Linked DNA regions of Mus musculus. Each later gene encodes a partner of the first gene's protein in a complex. Links are inferred from orthologs where the notes say so. Each region holds a gene or a part of one and is shown in the gene's direction. Other genes may lie near its edges. The genes, in order: Gpkow, Plrg1, Sf3b2, Rbmx2, Srrm1, Snrnp40 and Snip1.

Evidence for each region.
Region 2: Gpkow (region 1) and Plrg1 share a complex: the UniProt entries of both Homo sapiens proteins name them as parts of the minor spliceosome. The link is inferred for Mus musculus from reciprocal best matches to the Homo sapiens genes GPKOW and PLRG1.
Region 3: Gpkow (region 1) and Sf3b2 share a complex: the UniProt entries of both Homo sapiens proteins name them as parts of the minor spliceosome. The link is inferred for Mus musculus from reciprocal best matches to the Homo sapiens genes GPKOW and SF3B2.
Region 4: Gpkow (region 1) and Rbmx2 share a complex: the UniProt entries of both Homo sapiens proteins name them as parts of the minor spliceosome. The link is inferred for Mus musculus from reciprocal best matches to the Homo sapiens genes GPKOW and RBMX2.
Region 5: Gpkow (region 1) and Srrm1 share a complex: the UniProt entries of both Homo sapiens proteins name them as parts of the minor spliceosome. The link is inferred for Mus musculus from reciprocal best matches to the Homo sapiens genes GPKOW and SRRM1.
Region 6: Gpkow (region 1) and Snrnp40 share a complex: the UniProt entries of both Homo sapiens proteins name them as parts of the minor spliceosome. The link is inferred for Mus musculus from reciprocal best matches to the Homo sapiens genes GPKOW and SNRNP40.
Region 7: Gpkow (region 1) and Snip1 share a complex: the UniProt entries of both Homo sapiens proteins name them as parts of the minor spliceosome. The link is inferred for Mus musculus from reciprocal best matches to the Homo sapiens genes GPKOW and SNIP1.

The regions. Positions count from the first base shown.
Region 1 is NC_000086.7:7,700,134-7,703,633, forward strand, and holds part of Gpkow (G-patch domain and KOW motifs-containing protein), read left to right. Parts: intron 1-1,929; coding exon 1,930-2,039; intron 2,040-3,236; coding exon 3,237-3,450; intron 3,451-3,500. UniProt on the Homo sapiens protein: RNA-binding protein involved in pre-mRNA splicing. As a component of the minor spliceosome, involved in the splicing of U12-type introns in pre-mRNAs.
Region 2 is NC_000069.6:83,058,538-83,062,037, forward strand, and holds part of Plrg1 (pleiotropic regulator 1), read left to right. Parts: intron 1-118; coding exon 119-261; intron 262-789; coding exon 790-843; intron 844-1,299; coding exon 1,300-1,390; intron 1,391-2,496; coding exon 2,497-2,584; intron 2,585-3,500. UniProt on the Homo sapiens protein: Involved in pre-mRNA splicing as component of the spliceosome. Component of the PRP19-CDC5L complex that forms an integral part of the spliceosome and is required for activating pre-mRNA splicing.
Region 3 is NC_000085.6:5,273,421-5,275,938, reverse strand, and holds the end of Sf3b2 (splicing factor 3B subunit 2), read left to right. Parts: intron 1-775; coding exon 776-875; intron 876-961; coding exon 962-1,147; intron 1,148-1,411; coding exon 1,412-1,483; 3' UTR 1,484-2,018; downstream 2,019-2,518. UniProt on the Homo sapiens protein: Component of the 17S U2 SnRNP complex of the spliceosome, a large ribonucleoprotein complex that removes introns from transcribed pre-mRNAs.
Region 4 is NC_000086.7:48,705,004-48,708,111, forward strand, and holds part of Rbmx2 (RNA-binding motif protein, X-linked 2), read left to right. Parts: intron 1-1,301; coding exon 1,302-1,431; intron 1,432-3,108. UniProt on the Homo sapiens protein: Involved in pre-mRNA splicing as component of the activated spliceosome. As a component of the minor spliceosome, involved in the splicing of U12-type introns in pre-mRNAs.
Region 5 is NC_000070.6:135,329,147-135,332,646, reverse strand, and holds part of Srrm1 (serine/arginine repetitive matrix protein 1), read left to right. Parts: intron 1-408; coding exon 409-489; intron 490-839; coding exon 840-926; intron 927-3,129; coding exon 3,130-3,274; intron 3,275-3,500. UniProt on the Homo sapiens protein: Part of pre- and post-splicing multiprotein mRNP complexes. As a component of the minor spliceosome, involved in the splicing of U12-type introns in pre-mRNAs. Involved in numerous pre-mRNA processing events.
Region 6 is NC_000070.6:130,358,929-130,362,931, forward strand, and holds the start of Snrnp40 (U5 small nuclear ribonucleoprotein 40 kDa protein), read left to right. Parts: upstream 1-1,203; 5' UTR 1,204-1,277; coding exon 1,278-1,421; intron 1,422-3,699; coding exon 3,700-3,829; intron 3,830-4,003. UniProt on the Homo sapiens protein: Required for pre-mRNA splicing as component of the activated spliceosome. Component of the U5 small nuclear ribonucleoprotein (snRNP) complex and the U4/U6-U5 tri-snRNP complex, building blocks of the spliceosome.
Region 7 is NC_000070.6:125,069,672-125,072,107, forward strand, and holds part of Snip1 (smad nuclear-interacting protein 1), read left to right. Parts: intron 1-1,435; coding exon 1,436-2,019; intron 2,020-2,436. UniProt on the Homo sapiens protein: Required for pre-mRNA splicing as component of the spliceosome. As a component of the minor spliceosome, involved in the splicing of U12-type introns in pre-mRNAs. Down-regulates NF-kappa-B signaling by competing with RELA for CREBBP/EP300 binding.

The DNA.
Region 1 (3,500 bases):
CAGTCTCATGTTGTCTAAGCTGGCCTTGAATTCACTCTGTTGATAAAAATGACCTTGAACTTCATGCTTACAACTATAATCAGGCTTTGGTCTGCCCTACTTTTTTGGAAACAGGGTCTTGCTGTATTCCTGACTGTTCTGAATGTCTATGTAGATTAGGCTGGCCTCAAACTCAGAGATCTGCCTGCCTCTGCCTCCCAAGTGCTGGAACTAAAGGTGTGCAAACTACGTCCCACTTTGCCTTCCTTAAGAAAACAAAACTTTTTTTTTCTTTTTACTTTTCATGCTTTGATTGGAATTCAGGACCTTCCCTGTGCTAAAATGCCTGTTATTGAGCTATACTTTTTTTTTTGGTTTTTCGAGACAGGGTTTCTCTGTATAGCCCTGGTTGTCCTGGAATGAGCTGTGCTTCTTGCCCATACTTCATTCTATCCTGTTCTGGCCTTGACCTCATCTCTCTAATTTCCCCATCTCCAAGCCTCCATACCATCTACATCTCAGATGACCACAATTCTAGCCATCCGTCCTCTCAGCTTAAAATCCTTGGAGCCAATCCTTGACTTCCCTTTTTATTTCATATTCTACACGTAGCCTATCAGCCCAACCTCATCATCTCCACTTCAGTAGATCCAGAAGCCAATAGCTTCTTAGTCATCCACATTACTAGCATCCTGGGCAGAGGCAGCATCTGGACTAAGTTTCTCATGGGTCTTTCTTGGGGCTCCCATGTGACTCTTGGTCCCATGACGTTTCCAGTTCTCCTCATTAATTCCTTACCATCTCTGCTTCCACCTTTCCTGTTGATTTCCATGGTTCTTAACCATACATACAAAGTCTAACCTTACTGCAGGCTCTTTTTTTTGCTTGTTTTGTATTTTGAGACAGGGCTTCACTGTGTAGCTCAGGCTGGCCTTGAGCTCACAGAGATAAGCTGCTCCCACCTCCCAAGTATGCCCTTTATTTTTACAACCGAGTCTGTTTGGAGCAGTCTTCTCACATCCTCATCTGTTCTGCTATCTTTTATCATTTATCTGATTAAATGTCAGGTCGTGGCTCCCATCTCCCTTTGAATTCCCTTAGCCAGGTATTTTTTGAGTTTGGGTTTGGTTTTGAGATTGGGGGTGGGGGGAGTCCCAGCATGTTGCCCAAGCTGGTTTCAAATTCTTGGGTTTAAGCTAGATTCCTCCCTTACCTCATACATAGCAGGGCCTACTGGACAGTGCCACTTTATTTTTAAATGTGTCACCACTTGATGTATCGTGTTTTCAGAACTCGATTTGTTGTATGTCTTGACAACTAGATCATAAGGCCCAACAGACTTTTTCCATTTTATTAGTTCCTTATCCTCAGCACCTAAATAAAAGGTCCTGTAAATCTTTTGAAAGCATGTGGATATTTGTTGAAGCTGGGTATGGTGGTCCATGTATTACATCCCAGCACTTAGGAGACAGGGGCAGGCTGATCTCTGAGTTTAAAGCCTGCCTGGTCTGGTCAACAGAGAGAGTTCCAGGACAGCCAGAGCTGCATAGTGAGAGCCTGTCTCAAGCAGACAGACTGGGAAGAAGGGGCAGTAGAGCAATAGCTCAGAGTTAAGAACACTTGCTCCATACCTCCAGTTCCAGGGCATCAAATGCTCACTTCTGACCTCCACTGAAACCAAGCACAACACACATCATGGGCATACATATATGTAAGCAAACCATTCAGACACATAGCATAAAATAATCCTAAAAAACGTTTTGTTGTTACTGAAAGACTCGGGGGTGGAGGAGCAGAGTGAGGAGTGATAAGAAATGAAAACTGTCCTTCAAGCTATCTGTTCAGGGGCCAGGGCTAGAGAAAGTCAGCCCGTGAGTGGCAGGCAGCAAGTGCATGGCAGAGGGCCCATCCCAAGCAAAACCTGACTCTCTTCTCCTGCCTGACCAATAGGTGCCGGAGGAAGCCGACTATGAGGCAGTCCCTGTGGAGGCCTATGGGCTGGCCATGTTGCGGGGCATGGGATGGAAACCTGGCAAGGGCATCGGCAATACCTTCAGTCAGTGAGTTTGGTGGGGGGAATGGGGGGGACAATGGGTATAAATAAGACCCCTGTAGTTACATTTAATCTAGAACTATCTAGGTGCTGAGGGAGGACATTATCACTAGTTACCCACTACTGTTTCAAACTGTGGTTTCCACAGCGTTGTTATTCCAAAAGAACACTAAGGTCCTCTTTGTGGATCAATTTCCTCATCTGAAAAATGCAGGCGGTACTAACTTCACAGGTTTGTTGCAAGAGTAGGATTTAGTCCCTAATAAACTAGCAGAAACTAAACATTTTTTTACATTTATTTATTTAGTATATGTAAATACACTGTAGCTGTCTTCAAACACCCTAGAAGAGGGCATCAGATCTCATTACAGATGGTTGGGAGCCACCATGTGGTTGCTGGGATTTGAACTCAGGACCTTTGGAAGAGCAGTCAGTGCTCTTACCCACTGAGCCATCTCTCCAGCCCCCAAACTAAGCATCTTTTCTCTTATTTTATAGACTTATAGTCCTTTTGTTGGGCTGGTGTGTAGCTTACCTACCATGTAAAAGGTCTTCCATCTGTAGAACTGAAAGCAAAATCCCTTTGCAGTTGTAAATCCCAAAGAATTTAAGTCATTTGGTAAGCCAGATATGACTGTGATTGATAGTGAACATTCTTTACTGTTCCCCTTGCTCTGTGTACATATTATGATTTCTTCTGTAAATATATTAGTTAGTATATTTGTTTATACAAACCTAACTTGGCACTTGTAGATAGGAGTAATAAGAGTATATGGGACAAGTTAATTTAGTTACACTACATGAAATTGCTATGGGGGCACTAAAAGTGAGGCTCAATGGTAGAATGGCTTATGCATTGAAGCCCTGGATTTGACCCCTAACACCACAAAAAAAGAAAAGTTGGCATTTTTATAACTCACAGAGTCCTTATATGGTATCAGAAAGGGTAATTAAATACAGATGTGAGCTGGTGAGATGGCTGGGCAGGTAAAGGCCCTTGTCTGTAATCCTGATGAACTCAGAACTCACGTGGCTGAAAGAGAACAGCCCCTCCCACCCCCAAGCAGTCGTCTGATTTTTACATGTGTGTTGTGGTGTACAAGCATACACAAGTAAATTAACAATTAAAACAAGGATTGCTGAGGTGGGTTGGATATTGGAAGGCTTGCCTTTTGTACTCCTACAAGCCTATTTTTCTCTGCAGGGTAGTGAAGCCCCGAGTCAACTCTATAAGGCCGAAGGGCTTAGGGCTAGGTGCCAACCGGATGGAGGCTCAGGACTTGGCCTCCGTAGGCTCTCACCACCCACCAAGACCAGATGGGGATCGAGAGAATGATAAGGAAGGCCAACCTCAAGGGCTGATGCATGGAAGAGCTGTGGTTGTCCTTTCTGGCCCCTACCGGGGCCTCTATGGCAAGGTAAGAAAACATATTCCTGAAGCCATGTCAGGTAGCTGGAGTGAGTAAGC
Region 2 (3,500 bases), on another chromosome or scaffold:
ATCTGTGACATGGAGTACCGTGTCTGCTTCTGTGCTTCTCTGGTTAGCTGACTCTTTTCACTGGTGAGTGTGTTTCCAGTACTTACGGGTGCATTTCATCTTTATGATCTTTACATAGTCACAAGCGGAAAATGGCAATCAAGCTTCGCAATGAGTATGGTCCTGTGCTGCATATGCCTACTTCAAAAGAGAACCTTAAGGAGAAGGGACCTCAGAACGCAACAGACTCATATCCTCATAAGCAGTATCCCGCCAACCAAGGTGAAAACCATCGGGTTTACAAGTGAATTTTTAAAATAGGAGAAAATGTCTCCTTAGAGCTTCCCTGGGGGCACTGCTTAGTTGTTGCTGTGATGGTGGCCGTTTTGATGAGCTCGTCAGAGTAGTAATGAAGATGCTTAGGTGAGGACTTTTTCTAGAAAACAGAATGTATGATTATGATTCTCTTAGGAGGTAGGCAAGATTACAGTGGTGTCTACAGGGAAAACTCAAGTTGATTCCTAGCCTGTGGGGAGACCATCTGTGAGTTCTTTATCTTGAAAAGATGAAATTATAGTTACAAAGACTCTGCTATTCCATGTGAAACTATTTACTGTGAAGAACAGCTGGAACAGGTCAGTGGGAGGGGCGCCTTGACTTATTAGCAGCTTACAGGCAGAACCATCAACTCCCTGCCTTTCTGAGGCTTCTGTAGAGTTGGAAAGGAAAACTTAATATTTATAATACCTTTGAAAAGGCAGTACTTGGATAAAGGCAAACTCACTGGCAATGAATTTATTATTTTTTTAGGACAAGATGTTGAGTATTTGGTGACAGGCACCCATCCATACCCAGCAGGACCCGGTAAGTAACAGTAAGGCCGCACAGATGTGTGGGCACTGTGTCTACACAGACATAGTGTCTGTTGGCTCGGACAGTTGTCAGGTACCTAAATTGAAATAGATGAGGATGTATGGCTGAGATGTACTTGAATGCATGGGTATAGACAGGCTGGCATGAGGGAAGCAAATATGCTTGGACAGAGGACAATAAGCCTTATGTTTGCAGTTCACATGGGCATTGTGTACTTCTTTTAGTCACTTAATTTACTCTTGGAAGTAGTCTGTTAATATTTGCATGACTACTATTTGCTTATGAGTATACTGTCTGAATCAATAGGAAATTAACTTTATTGTCTTGCGTTCTCTTAATACCAAGCTGCTTGTGTTCAGTCAAATTTGATCTGTGTATTAGCCTGTATTTATTATAAGGAATTAAAACCCAAGTCAAGCTGAGTGTAACGAAGGTTGTTGTGAACAGGTGTTGCCTTGACTGCTGATACTAAGATCCAGAGAATGCCAAGTGAGTCAGCTGCACAGTCCCTCGCTGTGGCGTTACCGTCCCAGACCAGGTATGACTGACGCTCTACTTACATAGATTCTCAGTGTTTGCAGGCTTTGGGTTTTGTTTCTTGTTAACACGTAAAATGTGGAATCCAGATGCTATCTTTTCTTTTTCTTTTTTTTTTTTTTTTCATTTTTCGAGACAGGGTTTCTCTGTGTAGCCCTGGCTGTCCTGGAACTCACTCTGTAGACCAGGCTGGCCTCGAACTCAGAAATCCGCCTGCCTCTGCCTCCTAAGTGCTGGGATTAAAGGCCTGTGCCGCCACGCCCGGCTCCAGATGCAATCTATCCACCTTGAAAAAACAAAACAAAACTGTGTGTTTGTGTGTGTGCACTCTCGTGCACCTCACAGCCCTCATGTGTAAATAAACAGACAGCTTTTGAGAATTGGTTCTCGTTCTGTTGTAGGTTCAGTGATTGAACTCATAGCACATACCTGTGATGGTTTGTATATGCTTGGGCCATGGAGTGGCACTATTAGGTGTGACCTTGTTGGAGTAGGTATGTCACTGTGGCTGTGGGCTTAAGACCCTCATCCTAGCTGCCTGGAAGGGAGTATTCTGCTAGTAGCCTTCAGATGAAGATGTAGAAATCTCAGGTCCTCCTGCACCATGCCTGCCTGGAGCTGCCATGTTCTTGCCATGATGATAATGGTCTGAACCTCTGAACCTGTAAGGCAGCCCCAATTAAATGTCCTTATAAGAGCTGCCTTGGTCATGGTGTTAATTCACAGCAGTAAAAGCCTAACTAAGACAATACCTTTGCCCACACTGTACCATTTCAGCATTGCCACCTTTTTCTATCTAGGATCTCTCACTGGCCTGGAACTCAGCAAGTAGGCTGGGCTAGCGGGCCTTGGGCACGGGCCTGAATTGTCTCCAGTACTAGGATCACCAGCATGTGTCACCATGCCCACCATGCCCTTTTCCTTTTTTTCTTTTTTCTTTCTTTCTTTCAAACAAAGGTTCTGGGAATTGAACTTCTCATGCTGGAACAGCAAGCACTTTATCAACTGAGCTGTCTCCCACTGTCTCCCAGAATCCTAAAAGAAAGTTTGGAGAATACATAACTAGGGATGTGCTGAGTGATTATTCTTGATCTATCTATTCTGCAGAGTTGATGCAAATCGTACTGGGCCTGCTGGAAGTGAGTACCGACACCCAGGGGCTTCTGACCGTTCCCAGCCCACAGCAATGAATTCTGTAAGTCTCCTGACTCTCGGAACATGATTGCTCTTTTATCCTAAAAGTCTTACATAGATACTGAAATCAGTACTATCTTGAGCTCTGTTTAATACAAATAGCAGCCAGGGTTAGTCCTTAGCATTTCATAGCCCTAAACACATGGTTTTGGTAAGTTGCTTTTCTTTTTTTTTTTAAAGAATCCCACGATACACATAGTCGGTTTGTAAATGGCTAATACTGTGATCATGATAGTTGCTCCTCACTCTTAGAAGAACAAGCATTGGGGCCGGGAGCTAGTTGATTCAGTTAAGAGCACATGTTGTGTAAATACAAGGACCAGAGGGCAATACCAGCACCACAGGAAAGCTGTGTGTGGCTGTGGGTAACACCAGCATTTGGGGCGGGCCAATCAAAGTAGGGGTGGCAGAGGGGCTCTGGCGCTCAGTGGCCAGCCAGCTTAGCCAGAAAATGAAATCCTTAGCTTCAGGTTCAGTGAGAGTCCCGTTTTCAAAGTGTCAGTAGAGTGGGGATAGAACAGAAAACCTGTCATTTTCTGGCCTTCACATGCACACACCTGTACCTGCATTTACCACATGAATGCGCTTGCACACACAGAATAATTTCAAGGAAACCATCTTTATAGTGCTAAGGTATTTTTCATCTTGGGCAGGCCCTGCCCCTAGGTTCTTATATTGCTTTTATTTCTGCCAGTGAATCAGTTTATTTCTTGAAGTTACTTTTCCTTACTACAGTTACTGGGAAAAAGCTGCACTGGTAATAGGATCCAACGCACGCACGCACGCACACATGCACTGAACTGTGGGTGGGTGTGGGTTTGCATTATTTCGCACATGTACTGATGTTGTGAGTTGGTGTATGGTTGCAGTTGAGTGCTACAGGTTTGGTGACATTGATGCGCTGTGCAGCCCCTTGG
Region 3 (2,518 bases), on another chromosome or scaffold:
TGGTGTGAAACACCTCTACTATTTGTTTTTTTGAGATCATCTTCCTATATAGATCTGCCTGTCCTGGAATTCAGTATGTAGCCCAGGCTGGTCTCTTACTCACACTCACAAATATCCGCCTGCCTTAGCCTTTGAAGTGCTGAGTACAGCACCAGACCTGACTTCGATCTTTTAGAAAAGCAATCAACGTTACTGTGTGTGCATACTTGATGTGTGTGTGTGTGTGTGTGTGTGTGTGTGCGCGTGCGCGCGCGCATGCGCATGTGGGCGTGTATGGGGGGGCGTGTGTGTGTGTGTGTGTGTGTGTGTGTGTGTGTGTGCTCGCGTGCGTGTGTGTGCGCCTGTGTGTGGAATTGGTTTTCTCTTTTCTCCTTTATGTGGGTTCCAGGGATGGGACTCAGTCAGGTTTGTACAGCAAGGATTTTTATCAGCTGTGCTATTTTGCTGGCCCTCACCTGTTCTTTTGACAGCTTCTCTGTTGGAAAGCTTTCTATGAAGCTTTAGCCTCTTTGTCCACTAATGCTTCCTTATGAGTCTTGGCTTAAAGGATCCCTTAGCTTAGTCTCTGTACCCCTTACAGATTGTGTCCTGTGGGGCCAGTACTGACCCCACTCCACACCCCTCACCCAGCGTTTCTTATGGGCCTCCTTCAGTGGCAGAACCTTCAGCCGTAGTTATCTTGGGATTCTCTTAGAATTCAAGTGTCACTTATGTTTCTTTTGACTCAGGAGACCCTTTTGCCCCTTATTGGGTTTTATTTTCTTGTCCTTTGCAGAAGTGAGACACCTCAGTTATTCACTGTATTGCCAGAGAAGAGAACAGCCACTGTTGGGGGAGCCATGATGGGATCCACCCACATTTATGACATGTCCACGGTAAGCATTGGAGAACATTGTTTTGTAACTGAGATGGAGCCCGCGTTTCTGAGAGTCTGGAGATAATAAGGTTCTGAATTTTTCAGGTTATGAGCCGGAAGGGCCCAGCCCCTGAATTGCAAGGTGTGGAAGTAGCGCTGGCGCCTGAGGAATTGGAGTTGGACCCCATGGCCATGACGCAGAAGTACGAGGAGCACGTTCGGGAGCAGCAGGCACAAGTAGAGAAGGAAGACTTCAGCGACATGGTGGCTGAGCATGCTGCTAAGCAGAAGGTGGGAGCAACCTGTGGGCCTAGGAGGAGGGCTGTCCTTTCTGGTGGAGGGAGAGGCGGGTGGACTCGGTGCCTGAAGGTCTCCGAGATGCTCCATTGGTGGCAGTCTCTTAAGTTCAGGAAGAGGAAGGAAGTCATTTAGCTCTCAGGGGGAGAGGAGAGTGTGGTTTCAGTGCTTTTTACCTTAATTTTATGTCTGGGTCAGGCTGCCTCCTGTCTGGGGTTGTCTAACCTATTGTAACTTCTCTCTCTCTCTCTCCTACAGCAAAAGAAACGGAAAGCTCAGCCCCAGGACAGCCGTGGGGGCAGCAAGAAATACAAGGAGTTCAAATTTTAGGTCCTGCTCGCATAGCTGGCCTGCCTTTAGGCTCTTTGTATGTCTGGGCTTTCTCTGTGGCTCCCTAAAGCTAGATCTGGACTCCCTAGGCTCGTCACTTCCTGTTCTTATTTTAGACTTGTTTTGTAAATAAAGCTGTTTCCCAAGGAAGGATGAATACAGGCGCTCTTGAACCTCTCTCTCTTTTAGCTTCTGCAAAAGCATCTACTTCTTGCCTGTAATCACAGATGGCCCATAGGACTATGGGACTGTAGTTCTGAACTGAACTTGTGGGTAGTTCACTATCCCTACCCCTCCTGTGTGTGAAGGCTCTGCTGAAGGTACCTTTGGGTCTGGTCTGACCTTACTGCTTTGTCCGTGGGGAATAAAAATAGCCAGCTTAGCACCGTGGCTAGGCTGGGAAGTAACTGTAGGCTAGGGAAGTAGGCCAGGTCAGGCCTTCCTCATTGACCTTGTGGCAGAAAGGCCGATTTCTTACCTATTGGAGAACATCTGTCTCTAAATAAAATCTCAATTGTTCCAGAGTACTGGCTAACTACTTGGATTTACTAGTGTGTGTGTGTGTTGGTGGGTGGGTGGGTTTGAAGGGCTTGTTTTGTCTTCGTCACTGAGTTCTGAGAAGTTTTTTGAAAAACTAGACTAGGTTGGAGCACAGGATTCCATAACATTTGCTCAAGTACTGGGGAGAAGGTGTGGGTGTAGGAGAGTGCAAGAGCTCTAGGTAGGGTGGGGGTGTGTGGGGATGGCAGCTGATCAGGCCTTGAGAGAAATAGAATTCTAGAAATTGAGAAAGCACCGAGGCACTCTGGGACTTTTGTAAAGAAGGCTGTGTCGGGGGCGCTGTACCAAGAAAGGCTGTTGGACCTAGACAACCTTAGCTCAACTGGCTCCTGCCCACAGTCAAGCTGGAACTTAAGCTCCTTAGGTGGTGGCCGGCCCCTGGATCTCTACCTACTGCTTCTTTTGCAGAAGTGGGCGAAATAACCACAGAAGGGGTCGCCACAGCGGGCTATCCGATTTCCATGCAACGCGTGA
Region 4 (3,108 bases), about 41 Mb from region 1:
CTTAGGTCGCCTCCCCAGCCGGGCGGGCACCTGTCCTCTGGTCTGGAAGGTGGCCGGCTGTCCCCGGCCCACACAGGGTGCTGCCTCAGCGCCTCTGTGCTTCTGCCTGTTCCAGAAGCTGTCAGGTTCTCTGGCGCACCCTCTCACCTGTTCAGACTAATTTCCTAAGTTCGGCGGGTCCCGGACCAAGATGGCGACCGCTGCTGCTGTGGCTTAGGCCGCCTCCCCAGCCGGGTGGGCACCTGTCCTCTGGTCCGGAAGGTGGCCGGCTGTCCCCGGCCCACACAGGGTGCTGCCTCAGCGCCTCTGTGCTTCCGCCTGTTCCAGAAGCTGTCAGGTTCTCTGGCGCACCCTCTCACCTGTTCAGACTAATTTCCTAAGTTCGGCGGGTCCCGGACCAAGATGGCGACCGCTGCTGCTGTGGCTTAGGTCGCCTCCCCAGCCGGGCGGGCACCTGTCCTCTGGTCCGGAAGGTGGCCGGCTGTCCCCGGCCCACACAGGGTGCTGCCTCAGCGCCTCTGTGCTTCTGCCTGTTCCAGAAGCTGTCAGGTTCTCTGGCGCACCCTCTCACCTGTTCAGACTAATTTCCTAAGTTCGGCGGGTCCCGGACCAAGATGGCGACCGCTGCTGCTCGACTTTCTATTTTGTATTCAATTAATTTCTGCTTTGGTCTTTATTAAAGCCTGTTTTAAGTTTGTTTTATTTTATTTTCATTCTTTTTAAGGAATCAAATTCTTTAAGGTTACAATTTTCCCTAAGTATAGCTGGCTTAGCTACATCCTACAAATTTTCATGTATTTTATTCTTTTTTTTTTAATTTCTAAGTGGTATACCATAGACATTTTAATTTATTTTTCATTTTAGTTCATCCAACTATTAGCTAAGAGAATAGGTTTCAAGTTCTAGTTAGTAGCAAGTTTTTTAAAAATTATTTTTTAAAAAAATTATGGATGTTTTGCTTACATGTATGTCTGCACCATGTGAGAGATAGAAGAGGGCACTGGATTCCTTGGAACTGGAGTTACTGATGGCTGTGAGCCTCTAAGTGTGCGCTTGGAATTGAACCTGGGTCCTCTGGAAGAGTAACCAGTGATCTTCACTATTGAGTCATCTCTCTAGTTCCAGTAGCAGGATTTTGTTTAAACTATTATTTCTAGTTTTATCACACTGATTTTTGAGTATATGTTGTAGGTATTAGAATTTATTTTTAACAACTTTAACTCTTTACTTTCAACCTACTGTGTCATTTACAGTATTCTTATTATGTGAATTTTAAATGAATAAAACTTTTTATAAAATAGATATGGGGAGATTGTCAACATTAATCTTGTGAGAGACAAGAAGACTGGGAAATCCAAAGGATTCTGTTTCCTGTGCTATGAAGACCAGAGGAGCACAGTTCTGGCTGTTGACAATTTCAATGGAATTAAGGTAAATGTGCTTACTGTGTGCTCTTTGGCTGACCTTTTCCTGTGGATGGGTGAGGCTTCGCTTTTTTTGCCTCTGTTTACAGCTGCACGAATAGTACTGGTCATCTGGGTGTACCGTGGGGGTTGTGGAAGTGAGTAGACACACTTGGATAGGGAAGGATTCCAGGAAACCATTTTCTGGCTCATGCACCTTCCAGGAATTGTAACTTTCCCCTGTTTGTTAGCAAACTTGTTCTAGAAACGTGGGTCTGCGCCCCCTTATCTGGCAGATGTTTTTATGCACATTTTCCATCTGTTCTAGTACATTAGAGAATGAAGAGCCTAGGGACACTGCTCTTGGATATTGTGCTGTGTCAGGGAACTGGGAGCTTCATCATGGCTTGATGAGCTACGAGCCATGTGTATCTAGTCAATGACTTTTGTGACTTAACATATTGGCTCCTGGAAATTCTCTAGTTAAAATCTGATGACCAAGTCTATAAAAGTAAGCCATTCTGAAATTTTAAGGGAGTGGCATTCACAAGAAATCACCATCAGAGGAAAATTGCTTTTTCAAAAAGTGTATCAAAATGAGAAATAGAATGGATGACAGAAGCTTTTGAGGCTTTTAAGTAAAAGCCTCAAAGTAGAAGTAAAAATGTACCCTTGTAGTGGAACAGTGAAATTAATCTTTAGGTCTTAGATGATGTTGCCCACATAGTAAGTGTATGTGCTTGAAAACAGACTATATACAGGGTAAAGGATTCATTTTATTCTTGTTCTCTTGGAAACCTCTAGCTTATAGCCCAGTAATCCTTGGGAACTAGAAGTTCCTATATGGTAGGAGTAGGGCTAGGGATGGAGCTCAGAGACGAGAGTGCCTCTCTGTCATAGTCAACCAGTACCCCAGAGCTGTGGCTCTAGCTGCATATGTAGCAGAGGATGGCCTAGTCGGCCATCAATGGGAGGAGAGGCCCTTGGTCCTGGGAAGGTTCTATGTCCCAGTACAGGGGAATGCCAGGGCCAGGAAGCTGGAGAGGGTAGGTAGGGGAGCAGGGCAGGGGAGTGTATAGGGGACTTTTGGGATAGCATTTGAAATGTAAATGAAGAAAATATCTAATAAAAATAGAAAAAAAAGACCGTAAGTTCAATACCACCGCCACCTCTACTGCCACTGCCATCACAATCAAAGGCAACAACAAAAGAAGTTTGTTCCCTTGGTCTCATTTTGCCTCCTGATTACTTTGTTGAAAAAGCAGCCATAGCACTAAATTTCATGTTTCTAGTCCTCATGTTTTCCTAGGGCATGCTGTTTTCTTGTTAAATGTATATAACTTTGTATATATGAACACACATTCATGAGTGTGATGCCTTAGGTCAGGCGTCATTCCTTAGAATCTGTCTACCTTCTACCTCCCCCCCCCAAACTTTATATTTTTTGTTTTTGCAAGACAGGGTTTCTCTGTGTGGCCCTTGCTGTTCTGGAACTAGCTCTGTAGACCAAGCTGGCCTCAAACTCAAGGAAATTTACCTGTCTCTGGGATTAACCACCACTGCCAGGTTCTTCCTCTTCTTCTTCCTCTTCTTTCTTTCTTTCTTTCTTTCTTTCTTTCTTTCTTTCTTTCTTTCTTTCTTTCTTTCTTCCTTCCTTCCTTCCTTCCTTCCTTCCTTCCTCTCTCTCTCTCTCTCTCTCTCTCTC
Region 5 (3,500 bases), on another chromosome or scaffold:
TCTGCCCCTGCGCCCCTGCGCCTCTGGCCTCTGCCTCTAAGAGCTAGGATTAAAGGCGTGTGCCACCACTGCCCAGCTGGTGCAGGGTTCTTGCTAGCCCTGTAGAACTAGTTTTTGAAGCTTTCCATGTTTAAATTTTAGGTTAATTTTTTCATGTGAGGAGTCTAACCCATTCTTGTGCTATTAAAACATTGTTCTGCTGGGCAGTGATGGCGCATGCCTTTAATCCCAGCACTTAGGAGGCAGAGGCAGGCAGATTTCTGAGTTCGAGGCCAGCCTGGTCTACAAAGTGAGTTGCAGGACAGCCAGGGCTATACAGAGAAACCCTGTCTGGAAAACAAAACAAACAAAACAAAACAAAAAAATTGTTCTTTTTATTGTGTGAGGTTTATTTTTCTTCTTTTTTAGTGACAAAACATAAAGGTACTGAGAAAAGAGAGTCACCTTCTCCAGCACCCAAGCCTAGAAAAGTGGAGCTGTCTGAGTCTGGTAAGTTGTAATGATTTTCTAGAGGTTGGTTTTCTGTTTTTCCTTCCGTGTGTGATTATTCCCTGGGGTTGGGGATTGATTGTCCAGGGCACCCAGTAGGGAAGAGCTGAAGGTGACGTCACACAGACTTTCTGCAATTCCCAGCTGTGGCATTTAAGTGTGCGCTGTTTGGTTATTCGTCCAGGACCTCATTCTTTTTCTTCTGTATTTGGACAAAATTTTGGGTTTGGACAGCTGGCTGGGATGTTTATAGCATTCCTATCTTATGGACTGGGCTGATGCCTTGTGTTGTGTGTCACATTACCTGTGTGTAACTAAAGAAACACTGTCTAAATGCACCCATCTTTCAGAAGAAGACAAAGGCAGCAAAATGGCTGCAGCTGATTCTGTGCAGCAGAGAAGACAATACCGACGGCAGAACCAGCAGTCTTCATCTGGTATGGACAACAAGCGAATGAGCGCCTTCCACTCTCACACCTGTGGTAACCCAGCACTGGGAGGCTAAGGCAGGAGAATTCCTGTAGAGTGTGAGGCCAGTAAGGGCTGCATAGTGAGAGTCCCCAGAAGAGCAAAGCGGAAGAAGCCTGAGATCCTGTGGTTCAGAAGGTGGAGGCAGGAGGGGGAAAGCTCTGTTGTTCTTGGCTACATTGTACATTTGAGACCAGCCTGGACTAATGAGACCCTGGGGCTCTCCCCCCACTCCACCCCGCCCCCATTTTGCAATGTTATGCCTGTTTGTATTTCACTTGCATGCATGTCTGCACCATGTTTACATCTGGTCCCCAAGGAGACCAGAAGACAGGGTATCAGATCCAGTGAGAATCTGGAATTAGAGACGTTGTGAGCCATCATGTGGGTGCTGGAAATTGAACCGTTTGCCTTCATGGGTTGTGTTTGGGCCATAGGTCTCAGTTGGGCACTGGGTATTTCTTTCTTGTTTTAAGCCCTTAAATTTTGCTTTTAAATTGCTGTATTGTTAGGAAGGTAATAAATCTGGCTAGGAACATGGCTCTGGTAGAGTACAGCGTACTGCGTGCACAGCTCTGGGCTCTATTCCCAACATTATTAAATATAACATAATTGGACCCAAGCGTTGGTGGTACAAACCTTTGATTCTAACACTTGGGAGACAGAGGCAGGCAGGTCTCTTGAATTTGAGCCCAGCCTGGTCTACAGAGTGAGTTCCATGACAGCCAGGGCTACACAGAGAAACCCTGTCTCAAAAAAAAAACAAACAAAACAAAAGGTAGTTGGCGTAGAGTACAATAGTAAAACAGAAAATGAAATTGGAAAGACTAATTTATTCCCTAATATTTGAGTCTACTCCTAAGCCTTTCTGCAACTTTGTTCTATATAATTAGGAGTCTCTGGTTTAGATGATCATACTAGTTTTTTATGAATCTACTTCATTTATTACTAGTAGCTATTTGGTTGTGTTTTGTTTTTGTTTGGCCTCACTATGTAGTTGGGCTAGCCTGGAACTCACTGTAGTTCTGATTGTTTGATTAAAAAGAAAGAGCACAGAAGCCTAATGTTTAAGCCAGGGGCTCTGTTCTTGTGTTACTTACTTGGGTTTTGTGTGGCTTTAGTTTGGTTTTGGGTTTTAAGAAAATGTCCCATGTAGTCCAGGCTTGCCCTGAACTTGCTTTGTAGCCAAAAATGACCTTATACTTGTAGTCTTTTTGACTCCACCTAAGTGTTGAGAGTTGAGCTTTGCACCACTGGACTCAGTTTATGCAGTACTGGGGTTTGATTCCCAGGGTCTCCCATGTGCTGAGGCAAGCTCTCTACTCACAGCCACACCCTCATCGCTCAGGTTATAGTTGTAATTATTTTCTGGTTCAAGTGGCATATTGATACTTTTTTGTTGCTTTCTTGCTGCTGATGTGCAACACATGCTGGGTTGGGCTTTTCCAGTGAATTTGACCGTCAGCCCTGAGGTTCTTTTGAAGCCTTACCTTATTAATTGGGAAAGAATTCACTAGAGTTTTGTTGCGAGGCTCATGTTGGACTTCATATTCTCCGTCCTTCACCTCCCTGTCATCAGATGTGCACATACACCAATGAGCCTGATTTTACATCCCTGGATTTTTTTCCTAAGAGATCCGTGCAGGCCTTAGTACTTTTGAGATATACTAGTCTTATATTTGCTAGTTTTCTGCTAGGTGTGGACTGTTGACTGTCACTAAAATTGTACTGATTAGATTGTCCTGATGGGGGCTGGAGAGATGGCTCAGAGGTTAAGAGAGAGCACTGACTGTTGCTCTTCTAGAGGTCCTGAGTTCAAATCCCAGCAACCACATGGTGGCTCCGAACCATCTGTACTGGGATCTAATACCCTCTTCTAGTGTGTCTGAGACAGCTACAGTGTACTCATATAAATAATAAATAAAAAGTGTAGGTTGTCCTGATGGTACTGAGAATTGAACCCATGGCTTCATGCCATCCATACTAAGTAAACGTGGAGTCATTGAGTCTTAACCTCTAAGAAACGTTTTTCCCAGTGCTGGGTGTAGAACCCAGGACCTTGAGCATGCAGTGTAAGGGCCCAAGGGGTACTACAGGGGGCAGTGAGTGAGTGTGTGTGTGAGTGTGTGAGTGTGTGATATTTTGTTGTTGTTCTTTGCTCTGTGATTACAGACTCTGGCTCCTCTTCCACCTCAGAAGATGAGCGGCCCAAGAGATCCCATGTAAAGAACGGTGAGGTAGGCAGGCGGCGGAGACATTCCCCTTCTCGGAGTGCCTCTCCATCACCTCGAAAGCGCCAGAAAGAGACTTCCCCTCGGTAACAGCCTTCGTTAATAGTTCTGACTGTCTGTGGTTGGGCTGGAACTGTAGTGTATAGCTTGGCCCTCGAAATTACTTTACAATTGGGCACATTCTTCGTGTCAAAGCTGGTTGGGTTTGGGCTTTTAACCGGTTAGTTTGTTTTTTCTTGCTGTTGATAGTTAACATTAAAACTAGACACGTTTTCAGTGACTGCCTCATTTATGCATGAATAGAGCAGTTAA
Region 6 (4,003 bases), on another chromosome or scaffold:
GTCCTCTTTTGCACCACATTCTGGAGGAGAGAGAAAACTATCGCTGGCTTCCTATTAATTTTAAAGTAAAAGCTTCAACTTCCTGCAAATCTTCATGACTTCCAGGTTCATCCCATACCATATTCACTTTAAGCTAGCGCTCTCGCTCTCGCTCTCTCTCTCCCCCCACACCGGCTCTTTGTGTCTCCCTCATCTTTCCGACTGATAGAACCTGCTGTTCTGTGCAGAACGTTCTCCCTTCCTCTCTTCCCCTAATTAGAACCGTCCCATCAGATAGGAACCGCTCAGATGTCTTTTCCTTTAAAAAGCCTTCAAGTTTATATTAGTAACTCACAGCAAGAGGCATCGCTTGTTTAGGTAGTCTTCCGATCAAATGGTTTTTGTTTAACATCAAATTTGTTTAACACGTTTCCCACACTCTGGGGTAGAGGACCATATTTCTTCAGAATGACCCCCAAACGCACTGCACAATAAATATCATTTGGACCACTTTCGAGAAGACCTGGCACGCAAGCATGATTGTTCGATTTCTCAACTAAACTGTGCTTCGGAAGAACCATCTGATACTTTCCTCATCACTGGCTGTCTCGGGGACATAAATTAAAGCCCTTTTAAAAAGACGGCTAAATCAGTGACAACTAAGTCCGCCGCCTCAGCCAAGTCCGGCACTGAAGCCTGGAGGCCAGGACTCGGGCCAGCACAGAGCTAGACGCAGAATTGGCATCCTGCAGAGCAGCTGTCAAGGGATAGCCGTCTGAGGGTTCGAGTCCTGGAGCCAGAGATGCCAAAGCTCCGCTCCAGCCTACCAAGGGACTTCTCTTTCCGGCGACACCTCCTGCCACCCCATGCTGCTAAGGCTGATAGCTGAAAAGGGCAGGCTCAGGCCTATCACCACCTCGCACCTTCCAGATTGGAACAGCCACCCGCCTGATTCCCCACACACTCACTCCGCGTCCGCGCCTAGCAGGACAGCCGCTTCATAGCTAGGAACGCCAAACCTGCTCCGCTCGTTCTCACCCACGATGCACTGCGCGCCCGAGGGGGCGGGGGAGAACGCCAGCTCCGCGACCCAATCCCAGAGTCGCCTTCTCGTGACGTCATCAGAATGGGACCAATCACAAGAGTGTATTCAGAGGGCTTTCCAGAAGGAAATGTTAGAAGCCAATTGGTTGCTCCTCTCCGGAAGTTCTGGAGGAAGAACTCAGTTGGAACCAATTGCGCGGCGCCTCCGGTCGGCGGCGCGGTTAGTGGCGGCGCCGAGGAGAGTGGCTGCCGCCATGATCGAGCAGCAGAAGCGTAAGGGCCCGGAGCTACCCCTGGTTCCCGTCAAGCGGCCGCGACATGAGTTGCTGTTGGGAGCGGCAGGAGCCGGCCCCGGAGCGGGGCCGCAGCAGGCGACTCCAGGGGCATTGCTGCAGGCGGTAAGTGGGGAGTCATCCCGCCTTTGGCCCTCCGCCCCTCTTCCTACGGATGATGTCGCCTCTGAGGGAACGGAAAGACAGTGAGCCTGAAGTTAAAATAGGCTTCTGTGAAGGTGCCTGGTGTTCTCTGTGTGGTTCATACGTGTTTCCCTAGTAGACGCCTGTTTTCAGCCCTTCAGTGGCATTGAATCATTTAAAACCTTGGCCTCAAAATCAAGACCCAAGCTTCCGCATCCTAAATCTTCAGGGGTTTAGCATAAAAGAAACATTCAGGAAAGTTTGCAGAGTGGACGAATGAATGAGAGGGGAGGCAATGGAAATGAATGATAGCTCGCTTTACTACCTGGTAGAACTTTTTTCTTTCTCTGCATTTATAATTGTAATTAACACTCGTTGGATGTTATCTTGGATGTTTTGCGTGTGAAATTTCCATTAACCATGGTACCTGACTGAAAGAAGCTGTTACTTTGCAAATGGGGAAGGCAAACTTTTTTGTATCCAGAAGATCCATGGCTCCAAGCCAGTGTAGGCTATTTATTATGGCAAAGTCCTGTTGAAAGAGAGAAGAGAAGAGATCTGTGTAACTATGATCTTTTTTTTTACCTTCTTGTTAAAACTGTTTTTATGTCATCTGACATCACTGCAGGTAGAGCTTAATTTAGTATTCCTGGTTTTTGTCTTTGAACCAAGGATTGGTTATTAATCCAGTAGCCAGGGGAATCATGGAAATATTAAGTCACATGGTATACTCTGCTGAAAACATTATGTTGGCTTTCTATTGTGCGTTTTTTTAAAAATCAAATTCTCTGTAATAATCCCCTCCTTACCTTGTTCATCTACCAGTTTTCTGGCATGTCACTTGGCTCAAGACACCGACTTATAATGTTCTTTCTTTCCTTGGTGCTTTTGCTGGAATGTTCTTTTAAATGCCCACATGGTCAGCTGTTTGCTCTTTCAAATCTTTGCTCAGACACCAGGTTTTCAGAGGGGCTTTCCTGACCACTGTGTTTCAAGTTGGAGTGTCCTGTAATCTGGAACCCATACTGTTTCTTCCCATGGCACTCAGCACTGGGTGGCTCTGTGTGCCTTTCTCTCACTTTCCACTAGAATGCAAGGTCTACTGTTTTACTGAGTGCTGTTTTAGGCGTGTGTGTGTGAGTGTGTGTGTGTGTGTGAGTGTGAGTGTGTGTGTGTGTGTTTCATATGTGGGGAGGGGGAACTCAGTGGCCAGAAAAGAATGTTGGATCCTCTGACCCTAAAGTTACAGCCCTTGAAAGCTGCCCATTGTGGATGCTGGGAACTGGACTTGGGTCCTTTAGAAGAGCAGTAAGTGCTCTTAACCACTGAGCCATCTCTTTAGCCAACATGTGACACTTTTTGAATAAAAATGTTGGATGAGTATGATCTTGGTACATTATTTGCATTTATGGATATATCAAAATGAAACCCATTGCTTATAGATAGTACATGATAATAAAAATAAGTAAGTCTGCCGGAATCTGCTAAAGAGATTTCAGGATTATTGGTAGTACACTTGTTCTTATTTAATGAGTAAGATTGCCTAGGTTTATTCTCCAAGATCATAATCAAATCTACTTTGCTAAGCCTGGCACAGTGATACACACTTGTTCTTAGGAGGACTGAAAATTTTAAGACCTTCCTGGGCTACATATTAAGACCCTGCTCATTCCCCCAAAATCTATTTTGCGTAATAAGCTGTACCATACAAGGTTTTTCAAAGGCTAGCTGGGTGAACTTGAGACAGGAAAATGGTGACTAAAATGAAGAATGTACCTGTACTCCCAGAGCTTCATCTCTTTGGGGAAAAAGAAAGGCAAGAAAGGGAAATTCAGGTAGTGATGGGGCTTTGACCGCCTGCCCTGGAGCTAGTGGAATACTGGTGTGGGGAGGTACCTCACTCAAAGTAGGTTAGTTTGAGTGATGAAAGACAGACTCTGAGGAGGAAATATTTAAAAGATACAAAATAAGGAAGGTCTCTTGTGAAAGACATCTTTCTATGTTAAGATTCTGAAGCATAAGTGGATTCAACATGATCAAGCAGTCAGAAGTCGTCTGTGGAACAGAGACAGCCTTAGGGAGAAAAAAGCGCATTGGGCATATGCTGGACTGTCCAAGGGATTGTCAGAGAGTTCTGTGAGCAGGGGTACTATCGCTGACCCAGGTGAGATCTGTGCTATCCCTGACCCAGATGAGATGCGCTGCCCCAGCTTTCCTTTGCCTGTGGACAATGGCTGCCTCACACTTGTCTTTGGTTTAGGGACCGCCCAGGTGTTCTTCCCTTCAAGCTCCAATCATGCTGCTCTCGGGACATGAGGGGGAAGTGTACTGCTGCAAGTTTCACCCCAATGGATCCACCCTGGCTTCTGCAGGATTTGACCGGCTAATACGTAAGGCACAATTTTGAACTGGAGTTACATACAGCTCTCTGCTAATAATGATCTCTTTAATTTTGAGTGCCATAGAAATCCTCAGACATCAGTCTAAATTGCCAAGTTAAACTATAGTCATGCTAAAGCAGGGCATGTGTAAAATAAAAGGAAGGAAATGTACTAATTGGAAAG
Region 7 (2,436 bases), on another chromosome or scaffold:
TTCTGACACATGCTACAAAATGTCTGAACCCTGATGACTTGCTTAATAAACTGGGAAAAATTTGCATGATTTCATATTTTTGTAGTTGAGACAGGGTATCTATCTCCTGCTAATTAGGCCCTGGTTGGCCTGAAACTTGCTTGGCAGCACAGGCAGGCCTAGAACGCTTAATGATTCTCCTGCCTCGGCCTTCTGAGTACTGATATTAAAGGTATACCATCAACTGAACTTCACCAGCAGTGTGTGTGTTGTGTGTCTGTCTGTCTGACTGTCTGTCCGCCCCTTTGGAGACAGGTTCTTGTTCTCATTCTCTCTCTAACCCCTAGAGATCCACCTACCTCTGACTACTGAGGCTGGGATTAGAGGTGTGCAGTCCTTCCTCTCCTGACAGGAATTGCTAATCTGAGAAGATTCCTATTTCCTTTAGCATTGGTGCTCTGGTTATTAGAACAAATGTCTTCAGGGTTGGTTAAGTGTAGGTTTCTTCTGGAAACTGCTGCCGTCATGCTTTGCCCTTGGAGCTATTGCAGTACAAGTGGTCTCTCATTGGTCTGTTGTTCTTTCCACACAGGTTTCTCTGTGTAGCCTCAGCTGCTCTGGAACTCTTTGTACACCAGGCTAGCCTCAAACTTAAGAGTTCTGCCTCTGCCTCCTGAGTGCTGGGATTAACAAACGGTGTGTGTCACTGTGCCGAGAGCTCACTGGTCTATTGACTCTGTGTATTGCTGTTTTCTGCCAGGTTGATTTTCAGTATGTGTGTCCATTTTGTCAGGAGTTTGGAAACTGCTAAGTAGTACCTTCTTGTAGGTTTCTTGAGGCGTTCACATTTCTTAGGTTTATCCATAGATGTTTGAATCATCTCTATAATTGCTGAACTGAAGCTTTTGAAATTATTTCAATTCCTTTTGGCCTATGAGGAAGTTAGCCTTTCCCTTTACATATCTTAAATGCGACTGCTTTGTTTTCTACACCTGCTGCCCTGTGAGTGCCTGCAGGTGACTGAGGTTTGTCGCCTTGTTTTGAGGGATCTGGATGTGGGCTTGAGGAAGAGTGTGGTGTATGGAGTCTAACTGGCCCTTCGGGGGAAGAACCACACTGATAGCCTTGTGTGGATAGGAATTTGTTCTGAATACCAGAATCCAGGTCACAGATGTGTTGTTGTTGTTTGAGACTGTTTTGCCTATGTGGGTGTTTTGCCTGCATGCCTGTCTGTACACCACATAGATGTAGTGCCCACATTTGCCATAAGAAGGCATTGGATCCTTTTGGAACTGTAGTTGTAGATGGCTGTGAACAGCTTTGTGGGTGCTGAGAACTAAACATGGGTCATCCGGAACAGCAGTCAGTGCTTTTAATTGCTGAGCCATCCAGCTCCTGCAGCTTGTTCACAGAGTGGATGCCATCTTTCCTTTACTGAATCCCATCTGACTTTCAGGAACGTGAGGACCATCCTCGGAGAGGACGAGAGGATCGGCAGCACCGGGAACCATCAGAACAGGAGCACAGGAGAGCTCGGAACAGTGAGCGAGACCGGCACCGGGGCCATTCCCGCCAAGGGAGGAGCTCTGATGAGAGGCCCGTCAGTGGACAGGATCGGGATAGAGACAGCCAGAACCTGCAGGCCCAGGAAGAAGAGAGGGACTTTCATAATGCCAGGCGCCGGGAGCACCGCCAGCAGAATGAAAGTGCTGGCAGTGAGGCTCAGGAGGTGATCCCTCGTCCTGCTGGGAACAGAAGCAAAGAGGTGCCCGTTAAAGAGAAACCAAGCTTTGAACTTTCTGGGGCACTTCTTGAGGACACCAATACCTTCCGGGGTGTGGTTATTAAATACAGTGAGCCCCCAGAAGCCCGGATCCCCAAAAAACGGTGGCGCCTCTACCCCTTTAAAAATGATGAGGTACTTCCAGTCATGTACATCCATCGGCAGAGTGCATACCTTCTGGGTAGACATCGACGCATCGCAGACATTCCCATCGACCATCCCTCTTGCTCAAAGCAACATGCAGTCTTCCAGTACCGGTAGGTAGACCAGAGGGAGAACTGGCAAGGGAGATGGGTGAATGTCTCACTTAGTATTCCTAAGGCTGGCTGGCTGTGTGGAAATGCTACTGAGCCCATTACCCCTTGTAGCTAATGAGCCGGACTGAAGGAGTACTGTACGTCTTAACAACCTGTGATCTTTGAACATTTGTATGAGGGGCTTGAACTTGGTGTCAGAAATCCAGATATTAGTTCTTCCACTGCATGGTGGTGCAGGCCTGTAATCCGGGCTCTCGGGAGGCTAAGCAGGATTGGTAGTATATCCTCTAAGTGTAGGTTATATACCATGACCCCACCTCTAAATAAATAAATAAATAGATGAAAGGAAGAAAAAGAAAAGATTCCTGCCATGGTCTTGACCTGTTTCCACCTGCCCCTAGGGCTTTATGAGGACCA